Neurospora crassa OR74A: one gene and its partner. The protein of the gene in region 2 binds, or shares a complex with, the protein of the main gene of each other region. Links are inferred from orthologs where the notes say so. Each region holds a gene or a part of one and is shown on either strand. Other genes may lie near its edges.

What was found. Proteins that work in one complex are often made in the same cells at the same time.
Region 1: NCU05423 (region 2) and NCU01580 share a complex: the UniProt entries of both Schizosaccharomyces pombe proteins name them as parts of the 7-subunit TFIIH core complex. The link is inferred for Neurospora crassa OR74A from reciprocal best matches to the Schizosaccharomyces pombe genes tfb1 and tfb4.

What each region holds. Positions count from the first base shown.
Region 1 is NC_026502.1:3,029,318-3,034,973, reverse strand, and holds NCU01580 (transcription factor TFIIH subunit Tfb4), read left to right. Parts: upstream 1-2,480; 5' UTR 2,481-2,799; coding exon 2,800-4,119; 3' UTR 4,120-4,481; downstream 4,482-5,656. Other genes in the region: NCU01581 (hypothetical protein), read right to left, coding at 4,482-5,656. UniProt on the Schizosaccharomyces pombe protein: Component of the general transcription and DNA repair factor IIH (TFIIH) core complex, which is involved in general and transcription-coupled nucleotide excision repair (NER) of damaged DNA and, when complexed to TFIIK, in RNA transcription by RNA polymerase II.
Region 2 is NC_026502.1:1,591,148-1,597,155, reverse strand, and holds NCU05423 (hypothetical protein), read left to right. Parts: upstream 1-3,129; 5' UTR 3,130-3,529; coding exon 3,530-5,521; 3' UTR 5,522-5,835; downstream 5,836-6,008. Other genes in the region: tca-7 (2-oxoglutarate dehydrogenase E1 component), read right to left, coding at 1-1,550. UniProt on the Schizosaccharomyces pombe protein: Component of the general transcription and DNA repair factor IIH (TFIIH) core complex, which is involved in general and transcription-coupled nucleotide excision repair (NER) of damaged DNA and, when complexed to TFIIK, in RNA transcription by RNA polymerase II.

The sequences.
Region 1 (5,656 bases), about 1.4 Mb from region 2:
ACAGCAGCATTTTAAGAAGGAAGGAATACAGTGAGCGATCCGTTACCTTGAATCTGTCCTTCCAATTTCCCGCGTTTCATCTGGCTGGATGCCCTCTTTCCTTATTTCGGGCTTTTTTTGCGTAAGCATTATCTCACCGTGACCTCGACTGCACTCATTGAGGGCTGAGAAGGAACGGCGACACCGCGTTAGTGAGAGTGCTGGTGTAGACTAGCAAGGAAGGAATACGGGAAGGTTGGAGAATCCGAATCATTAGTAAGAAATGCCTCGGGGTCCGACTTTGCCAACGGAGAAATCGAATGATAAGTATTCTGTCCAATCCTGGCTCCGGACGCTGTAGTGTATTGTACTGCATCCCGTCGTGGTAAGCACCAGGGTTAGGGTCAGTTTACGAGCTTTGTTTACTACCCCTGAGCAATAACGAGGACTCGAAAACGTTGTAGCAAAAGATCATTGGAGCTGGCGTCCTCGTTGGTGTAACATCGAAATGGTGGTTTGGTCTCGGGCAGTCGTCTTGGTGATTCTGGAGGAAAAGCACAGCTTGAAGTGGTCCGTGGGCTTCCCCAAGGGTTCTGACGAACTCTCGCTAGGGCAGGTATGGTGCGGTGTCAAGATTCGAGTGGAGGAACACTGCTCGTGGTCGACTCGACTGCTCTTGCAAATCTTTTGGAAAAAAGTGCAAGATTGAACGTTGAACTGCAGTGGCAGTTGCACCTTCGCATTGTCCATCCCATCGTCTACCCCACATAAACGACATCATCTAATTTCCCCCCTAGTCATGATAATCCCTCCACCACCCACCGGGCCGCCGTTATCACATTGTCACGCACACTTCCCCCCGGCATATGGGCACATATCCCCAGCTTCCTGAGCCAACCTCGCATCCGCTCCCTGCCTCGGAGCCCCGCCATCTCACTCTGCCACGTAAGTAGGTAGTACTAATCTTCTGCTTCCCCTTCACGCCCACGCACAGATTTCCAACGGCCGTGATCCACACCGAATTCGAACTTGACGCACCCTTGGCCCGCCACGTGATATCCCCCCCGGTGCGCCGACCCCTGGCTGTCGTCCGTGATGTAGATGAGTGCAACTCGCTGACCGGGGAAAGACAGGATTCCTCGGGGATCCACCACGGACGTGGTCGGCGCGGTAACTGAGATCGACCGCGCGGATATAGGTGGATGCGCGGTTGTCGAACTATTGTTTCTAGGAAAAGCAGTAGGGTTCAGAGACTTCACATCACAGGGTTCGTATGTTTGTGCCGAGCCTCCATTAACGCCGGTCCAGGGGTGACTCCATCGAGCTTCGGCACCGCGGCACCGTCATGTTGGACTATTGATTTATAGTTTCCTCCGGTGCGTCGGCATCTTGCTCGAGATGACCACCGGGAAGACTGTTTGTCATATTGCCGTTACTGGTCGAAACAAGCCAGCGTCCACTTTGTCCATAGAGAGACGACCGCATGAGTTCCACCTGGGCTCGGCATATTCATGAAGAACTAAGTTGCCGTCGTTCTGGAAGGTAAATTATTGTCTCGGAAGACAAGTTCGCTTTTCTGTTCTTTGATCTGGAAGAGCTACCGGGGTTATAATGTCGCCGGCCTTGAAAGATTCCTGTGTCTACTATGTATGAGTGAAGGGTGTTATAAGATCGGGAACTTGAACAACTTACCATAGGGGAATATTCGGTGGTGGTTACAGTGCTAGAGGTAGATAATCGGGAGTAATCAAGGCAGTTACATATTGCGAGAGCATGGAAAGAACAATGTCTTAAATTGAGCTTCAGTTTTGTCTATTCCTTACCTACCTGGCTGCCCCTTCCTTAGATACTTGTACTTCTCTTCCTCAAAACCTCACAATACCTATCGATGATAGTCTTGGCCATAGGCTTCCAACGTAAAGCTGTCGTCACCGGGGTAACCCCTAAGCCAATAAGAGCCCGACTACAGACCAAGGACACCTTGAATTGCACAGCCGGTGACTTTAAGCCACTCTCGGTTGACAGTCTTGCGCCATCCTTCTAAAGGAGATCCTCGTACGATATGTGAATAAACCGAAAAGGGAACATGTGATGGTGTGGATGGATCAAAGGAAAAAGATGACCTCGCTGTTGGTGTCAAAAGTTATGCACGCTTGCGTGTTCATCACCCGGCTGTTTTGGTGGTAATGCTGGGGTCGTTGAACTAGAATCGGACACAGCAGGAAGAGAAGAATAAGATGAGAGATGAAGGACATGTTCGGATGAAGGTGATATCATTGTACATAGAGGAGCTAGGATATCTTGACCAATAGGAAAGCGAGAACTGGACTACATCTGTATGTTTAACTGCATGTTAGTGCTCTAACTGCATATCTTTTGACCACTAAGGAAAATGCCGGCAATCTGCCTTATCGGGTATCACGTGGTAGCGTGTGCACTTGGACCAGGATCCTTTGGCCTTCACTTGGATCGCGTTTCGCTTGCAACCCCGAAATCGTTATCGCATTTCTCCGTTACGTTATCGCATCTGCAGTGTTCTCGACGAGAAGGTCTTCTTGGGCGCGTCAATCCTATTCAGCAGACATAACCAATCCAGACAACAACTATAACGAATATCACACAACAGAGCGCCCGCTTAGCTATCCTGCCATCTCTCGATCCAGCATCCAGACAAGCTCCCTACGAGCACCGGCGCACTGAGTATCGCGGCGACAAAAGGCCTACGTCATGTACACCAACTGGCTTCGATCCACGATATAGCTCTACAACACACACAACCTTGAAGCGAGTTGAGGCTGTCCCTGCCAGATCATCGTCAAGATGACGGTCCAGGACGCCGTCGACGCCTCCGAACACTACGAAATCTACAACACCGATGATATCCCCTCCCTTTATACCATAATCATCGACACCAACCCACGCGCCTGGGCCGCCCTGAACGATGTCCTCCCACTCACGAAAGCGCTCGCCAACATTCTAATATTTGTCAACTCCCACTTAGCCTTCAATAACTCCAACCAAGTAGCTCTCATAGCATCACACACGAACCGGGCAGTATGGCTCTACCCAACAGCACCCGACCAGAACCCCGGCCGACACCCGCAAAATCCAAACGAAGACATCGAAATGCGCGACGCCTCCTTCACAAGTAAACAACAATCTCCACCGCCCGCAAACAAATACCCCCTCTTCGCCCAAATCGAGCGCTCCCTCCTCTCCTCCCTGCGATCTCTCATAACCGACACCACAACCGAGGACATCACCTCTACAACCACCACCCAGATTTCCGGCGCCTTGACCCTCGCCCTCGCGCACATCAACAAAACCGCCCTCCTCTTCGCCCCCTCCAACTCCGCCACCGGCCCAACCCCCTCCTCCGCAGGCGGCAAGTCCTCCGTCTCCACAACCTCCGGCGCCGGCCCAGGCGGCGGCAACGCAGCCTCCCTCCCTGGCATCGGCGGTGGCGGCCTGGCAGGCCTGCACGCCCGCATCCTGGTGGTCAGCGTAAGCGACAGCTCCCCCTCGCAGTACATCCCTACCATGAATGCTGTGTTCGCGGCGGCGCACGCGCGCATTGCCATCGACACGCTGGCGCTGCGGGGTAGTGCAACGTTCTTGCAGCAGGCGAGCTATATTACGCGCGGCACGTTTATACGGGCGCAGGAGCCGAGGGGACTATTGCAGTACTTGATGTTTGGGTTTGGAAGCGGGAGCGCGCCACAGGGGTTGGCGGCGGCAGGGAACCAGCGGTCTCAGCAGCAGCATGGGGGACATAAGGGGAAAGAGGACAAGGCGAGCGAGAAGGCCCTTGGCGCCGCGGCCAAGGGAGGGGCCAAGCATGGAGGCCAGAAGTTTCTGGGGAGTAATGCTAGCGTGGCGGATCTGTTGGTCACCCCTAGTGCGGACTCGGTGGATTTCCGGGCGGCGTGTTTCTGTCATCGGAACGTGATTGATACGGGGTTTGTGTGCAGTATCTGCTTGAGCATTTTTTGCGAGGTGCCCGAGGGTGGGGAGTGTTTGACATGCGGCACCAAGTTAGCGTTGGGGAATTACGGGAGGAAGTTACCTGTGCTGCCTTCAAAGGCTGCTGCTCCTCCTGGAGGGGGGCAGGCGAATGGGAAAGGGACGATGCTGAAATAAGTCTTCAGCGAGGTATGGAATAGAGTGAAGAGGTAACTGATGGTGGATGATTCTTTTGTCCTGGGCCGGGGAACCAGGCAGTCAAGAGGCTGATTAGAGACTAGGGAGTGGTAAAGCCCACAAGATTGCTCGTGGGATGTCTACCGAAAGCGGACAAAAGGCTTGGAAAACTACATATACACATAGAGTCTGACATGCAGTGCTAATACCCATAAAACAGCTTTTATTGCGAATATCACTTTACTGGACATGGATTCCCACTATAGGATTCAGCCATCGATACCTGTTATTGGGGACATGTCTAGTCATTATCCATCGTTACATCATGCTCCCCCGACTCGCGTTCAACGTCCACCGTCCATTCATAACTCATCATCAGACTCAGTCTCACTCCCCTCATCTACTACAGCAGCAGGCTGAGACGCTCTCGTAGCCGTCGCCCCGGCCCTCTTAGTATGGGAAATGGGCGTTAGCGTCTCCTTTCCCTTTCCCTTTCCTACAACAGAAGCCGTCGTCTTTTTCTGAGGGGTTGTCGTCGCTGTCGAGGATGCCGCAGCCGTGCGTTGTCGTCTAGCAGGCGGCGGTGAAGGAGGCGGCGGCACATCAAGATCCTTGTCCCCTGCTTCTACAGTCCCATCATCCTCCTCATCGGGCTCACTGGCTGTTTCGTCATCGTCGTCGCGGTCTGGGGTGTTGCGGTCAGATGTCTTATTGAGGACCTCATCTTCGTCCTCGTCGTTATCAGTGACGTCCTCGTGATCGAGGGTTTTGCTAGAAGATGATTGTCCCATGGTGGTCGTCTTTGATGATGGTTCCGGCTCTGATTCTGGCTCAGGTTCCGGCTCGTCGACATCCATCTTTTCGAATTTTGCGTGGTCGTTGTCGTCGTCTCCATCATCGTCTGATGATGGTACGTCCTTTGCAGCCTTTCGTTTTCCTGGTCTGGAGACACGGGCGGTTCTTGTGTTTGTCCTTGCTTTCGCTGATCCTGTTCCGCGTCCTCTTCCTCCTCCTCCTCCTCCTATCCTGCCGATCTTGGCACCACTCTCTTCTTCCTCATTCTCCTCATTTTCATCCTCATCCAATTGACTTTCCGGTACGTTAACTCCGGACTTACTCCTCGCACTCTCAATTACCCCCAACAACCTCTCTCGCGAACCTGACCTTGGCCTTGCTCTACTGCTCAAAGCTTGCTGCTGCTGACGAATCTTGGCCTTCTTCTCATTCAGTAGCGCCCTGAACTTCTGCAACAGCTCGGTCTCCTGCTCAACCTTGGACTGCGTGAGTTCCTCCAACTGCTTCTTCAGGTCAGCCACACGGGCCTCGAGATCCGCGACCTGCGCGGCGGAGGTGGACAGGGAAGTGAGTGCGGTTTGACGGGAGATGGCGAGTTGCGAACACCAGTCGAAGAGCTGGATCTCGGAGGAAGGGGAGTGAAGGAGGGTTAGGGCACCAAGCCGTTGGTTGATGCCCGCTACGCGGCGACGGATGGTGATGGTGATGGACTTTTTCTTGCCCCGGGTTTCTACTTCGGCGC
Region 2 (6,008 bases):
AAGTGGTACTTGACATCACCGGAACCCTCCTCATCGGCACCGGCCATGCCGGCGAATTCGGAAAAGATGGCCTCGTTGGGCTTGCGGACGACGTTGGAGAGGACGTTGAGACGGCCACGATGGGGCATACCAATGACGATGTCCTTGACGCCGTAGTCAACGGAGCGGTCGATGAGGGCCTTCATACCAGGAACAAGGGTCTCGCAACCCTCGAGACCGAAACGCTTGTCGTTGGGGTACTTGGTGGCGAGGAAGGACTCGAAGCTGGAGGACCAGATGAGGCGGTCGAGAATGCGGCGCTTCTCATCGATCGAGTACTTGAAAGGCTGGGGGATCTCGAGACGCTCACGGAGCCAGTCGCACTTCTCCCTGTCGGGGATGTGGATGAACTCGACACCATAGGAGCCGCAGTAGATCTTCTCGCAGGCGTCGATGATCTCGCGGAGCGTCATCTTCTCGCGGCCATCGCGGGCGAAACGGGGGAGGATGCCGGGGCCGAGGCTGTACTCGGTGTCGAGATCCTTCTCGGTGAAGCCGTAGTATTCGGGGGTGAGCTCCTTGGGCCTGATGTTGCCGAAGCCCTTGGAGGCAGGAGTGTTGCGGATGCCCAGAGGGTCAATGTTGGCCTTGTGGTGACCACGGGCCTGGTAGGCGCGGACGAGGAGCTGGACCTTCAAGTGGTTGGTGACGTTGGCACCCTCGCCAATGCCGACGCCGGCGCCGGCAGCGAGACCGGGCACCACGTTGGCGGCACCGGGAACCAGGCTGGGAGGAGGCTGGAAGGCCTGGGAGATGGGCATGTTGCCGCTCTCCATGTTCTTGAAGTAGACCTGCCACGAGACGTGGACGCTCTTGGGGTCCTGCTTCCACTGGAGGTACATCTCGTCGATATAGTTGGCGGCGCTGCCCGAGAGGAAGTTGTCGTTGGGGTCGGGCGGGCTGTGGAGGGCGCTCTCATGGCGCCTCTGCTGGGAGACGGCCAGGGGACGGCGGCCAACGGCGGGCTTGAGGGAGGCCCTGGTGGTCTGGGCGACCTGGGAATAGCATCGTTTTGAGGCGCCTGCGGTCTGCAGGGCCCGGATGGAACCGCGCAACATGATGGGTGGCTGTTGTGAGGTGAGGGTATTAGGACGCAGAAACCGAAAGCGCAATCCAAGCAGCGGGGTTTTGTTTTGTGTGTACAATCTGGAAGAGGGGAGATTTGGGGGGGGGGGATGCGCAAAAGGCAAAAGGAGCGGCGGAGTAAGTCTAGGTCTCGGTCGTCGTCGTCGACTCTTGAGGGGGGGAATGGGGAGAGAGGGGGAGAGAAGACGAGAGGATCGAGATTTGGAGGGGAGGGGGACGACAGACGTTGGTGTTTTTGATGTTTCGTTGGTGTCGGGGGAAGGGGCGGCGGGAATGCAGCGACGGAAAAAAAGGGCCTCACTCTGCCCGCCGTGCAGGTGCGTCGAGTTGCTCCGTCCACTCACTGGAGTCGGGCGGTCGGTCGACCTGTCGGTGCAAACTGCAAGAGCGAGCGAGTGCTGCCGTCCAGCTGTGCTGCTGTGCATGCCTGCTGACTCCCGTTCTGCCCGCCCTGTGGAATTGACAGAACTAACGAACTGAATTGAGTGGACTGAAGTAGCTCGTACAGTGAGCATCAAGGCATCTGCACGGCTCTGTGGAGGGGACGATGACGGCACTTGCTGAAGCACAAGTGAGGCTCCCTCCCCCTCGGCTCCCGCCGTTGCGCCGCTACAAGCGCACTCAGTGCAGTGCGCCCTGGATGCTTCTCTTGGCCATAGCTTTAACATTGTGGAGCCGGCGAAACTGGGTGGAGCTACCCAGCTTCTCGCACTGGGAACAAATACATCGAAGACGCCCGGGACCCAACAAACTTGAAGGGGACATCAATGTGAGATTCTCTCGGTACCTCCATAGCCGCAAACTCGCCTACCTTCAGTTATTTACTGCTCAGTCTGCTACATACCCATACGTAGTAGCGTACACAATGGAATACACGAAGAGATATCATATCCATCATCTACTCGAATCCGTCCTCCCTCTTGTTGTTTGTCCAAAAGTCACGACGGAGTTCACGGTTCGAGCGGTGACCACGGTAACAGCAAGCATAACCGGAAGTCGTGGAGTTTCTGTGGTTTCAAGGAGGGGGACGGGAGCTGTGTCTCCATGACAAGTCATCGGGCACGCAGCAAACTGGGAAAGTGTGGAAGAGCTGGAAGTTACGGTCTGGAGAGTGCTACTGTAATTATTTCATTACGCATTGGCTCCCGCACCTCCCGTCGAGACTGGAGTTGGAGGCTCCGAGACCTGACCCGAGTCCCTTTTCCCCGGAAATCACGGTTCCCGTCTTTTTGGACCAAGTATCCAATCTTACCGTGGAAAGTGGGGAAAACTTCCATGTCCGAGGTGGAAATGTACGGTAACGCTTTCGGTCCCATCTTTGAGCGCGAACTTTTCGAAGCTTTCGCTTGGGGCATCGAACTGATGGAACTGCGCTAGACATGGTCTGGTCGGTATCCTGGGTTATGGGTTTGGGTTCAATTAGCTACTTGGCACTGACCGCCTTGTGACTTGCCGTAGTATCATGTGACTTTTGCAAAAGTCATTTATCAAATCCATTTTGTCAAAGAAGAGACAAGCGAACCGAGTCTAGATCTCGTCTCGATCTCGTCTCGAGTGGTTTATCGAAATGACTTTGAGGTTTGGCTGTTGGTTTCGATTGTGTAATTCACTACAAAATCCTGCATCGTCAGCTGCCACCTTCAACTTCTTCTTCATTATTGAGCCAGTTGCAGCATTGACTGCACGTCACAGTGTTAAATCCCCCAACTCTCATTGGCTGGCCGTGACTGGTTCGCTGCAGTGCAGTTGCTGTTGTCCAAGCTCTGCGCTGGCTTCAGATCCTTGGCATTTCCCACCCACGGCACCTGCAGCAGTTCGTCGCCCAGAGCTCAGGTCCTGTGGTGGCCAGAGATCCGACCTGGGTGGACAGCTGCCGTGACACTGTCTGTCGGTTCAAAGTGGAACCTTCCCGAGCTGAAACCTGAAGTTCAAGTTCTTTACACTAGTTGAACAGCCCCAGGGCGACCATGGAATTGTTAGTAGTCGTGCTCCACTGCAGCCTCAGCTGCCGCCTGCCTGCCTGCCACGCATAAACTACCTACTACACTATGTAAACTCACCACCCACTCACCATCCCGCAACGACATCCGCAGCAGCCAATGCCTCACCCCGGATTCAAGACTGACGGGACCTGGATTAGATTTGCTTGGCGTTACTACACTACATCACCACGTCCATCATCGTCTAATGCCGTGTACCTTGACGACTCTCCCGTCTCTCTTCGATATCAGTAAGGCGTAGTACACGAGCACGCTGTGACATACGTATCGCGTTAATACATCCTTGTCAAGGAACACATTGCGAGGCTGGTCCGTCTTTATAACATCAAAAGATTGGGAACTGGGCATTGAGCGTGGACTTGAGATATTCAACGGGCGGTTAGGGAGAGGACTACCTAGCCAACATGGCCCCGATTGAGATTCCCCGGGGACAGGCCTCTTACAAAAAAAGAGAGGGCATCATCACATTAACCCCAGACAAGACAGCCCTGATATGGAGCCCCTTGCCGGGCACTGGCCCACCCGTCATCTCACTTTCCGTATCCAACATCACAAACCTCCAACAGACCCCCAAGACGAATCCCAAGGTCGTCTTGAGAGTCGTCGAGAAACCCAAGGCGCCCGGAGCCGATCCGGCTGCCTATCCCTTCCAGTTCACACATGCCACCGAGGCCAGGAATGAGGCCGATGCCATCAAGGATCTTCTCTCTCAGATCATTGCTGAGCTTCGTGGCGATGACCCTTCTCTACCCAAGCCGGCAAAGTCTGGCCCCAACGGCGCCGGCGCCTCTGCCGCCATGGCCATGGCCAGTGCCGTGAACTCGAAGCATTTGCCGTTTCGCTGGTTCGAAGACGACATGCTAAAGGCCGATGTAGAACTTCAGCAGTCCCTCATGAAGAAGGATAAGGCCTTGGCCCATATATATAACGACGCAAAGCTGTCCAAGCCAGATTCATTATCAGATGCCTCCTTCAACAGCCAGTTCTGGGCCACCCGCATCAGCCTGCTACGTGCCTATGCCATCGAGCTGAACCAGAAGAAGGGCTCATATAACGTCCTATCAACCATCAAGCCCCGGACCGAGAACGGCGAGCTCAAGTTGAACATCAACCATGAGCAGGTCCAGCTCATCTTCCAACAACACCCACTGGTCAAGCGCATCTACAACGAGAACGTCCCCAAGCTCACAGAGTCCGAGTTCTGGTCCCGCTTCTTTCTCAGCCGTCTCTCCAAGAAGCTCCGCGGCGAGCGCATCACCGACAATGACAACACCGACCCCTTATTCGACAAGTATCTCGAAGCCGACAACACCATGGCAGTCCCAGCCAAGATCACCGCCACGAGTGTGCCCCCCATCATCAACATCGAAGGCAACGAAGAAAACCAAGGTGGCTTCAGGGGTGGCAACCTCAAAGACGTCGAGATGCGTCCGCGCGCCAACATCCCCATCATCAAAACGCTCAATTCGCTCTCCGAGAAAATCATGGCCAACGTCGCCCCCACAGACGTCGACCCCTCCGCCGCCTCCTACTCCAAAGACGGCATCGCCGACGCCCTATCCAAACAACTCGCCCTGCAAGACCTCCGTGGCGACGCCGAGGCCCAGCTGATCCGGCTTTCCGTCAAGGACACCTCCACCTTCTTCACAGGCAACCAGCCCTCGCTCACCGACCAAGAAGCCGCCGACGCGCGCCTCTACGCCACCCAAGTCCCCTCGGACGTGCTCTTCGAAGTGCAAGCGGACATGGACACTCTCGACTCGGACGGGCGCGGCGGCATCGATCTCCACCGGTCCATCGGGGTCGATCCCGACTCTGACGACGAGGGTAATAACTCTCTGGACTCTAAAAGCGGACCCAAGCCCCAACACGTCGGCTCCCGCGCTGCGCTACGGTTCGCCCAGAACCAGATCCTCGAGAGCATGAAGTCCGCTCGGTCGCACCTCACCACCACCACCACCCACGGTGGCTCGCACACCACCACCACCAATGCGTCCGAAGAACGACCCATGTCGTTGCCGACGGACATTGCCCACCGCGCTACGCTAACCTGCGCTACGACCGCCGAGTTCCTGAAACAGTTCTGGACGGTGTTTAATAACTCCAGCAACAGCAGCCCAGAAAAGCAGCAAGAATTGGCCTACCTGGCCGACTCGCTCGTGCGCTCGAAACAGAGAATCGAGGCGCTGGCTGACGAAGCGGAGAAGAGGAGACAGGAGATTATGGAGAAGCGGAAAAGGGAGATTAGAGAGTATTATCAAAAGACAGGCCGCAAGGCGAAGTGGGTTCCCGTTGGAGGGGGCAGGGATGCGGTGTGGGCGGCTTTTGAGGGCGTGGTGGGCGGGTTGGAGAGGGCTGTGGCGGTTTGGGAGATGGTTAAAAGTGGGAGGATCTGAAGATATGAGGAAAGACAGTGGCAGAGGTGCGTTGTTAGGGGATGGATGTTGTGCTGTGCTGTGTGGAAACGGGAGGAAGATGGGGAGGATGACTTTCATGAGAGGAGAAGTGATAGAGGAGGATGACATTTGGGAGCGTTGCCATGAACGAGAAAAAGTTTCAAGTATATATAGAGGACAGAAATGGCCCACAAGACAGTAAGGCTGGGATAATTTGGGTTAGGAGAAGGAGAAACAGACTGACTATAGTCACATTAGGAATTATGGCTGAAGACCAATGATGAAAAAAAGCATTAAGAAATTTTCAAGAAAGCAAACTGGTTCTGGACTGATGTGTGATATCTAAAACCAGACTCTTAACACTTTCCAAAACGAAGGTTCCGGTATTCTCAGATTACATCATGTAGATAAAGTTGGAAAGAAAAGGGGGATCTCTTGAACCATGACATATGACTTGAATCATTAAACCTAACCAAAAACTCCTTCA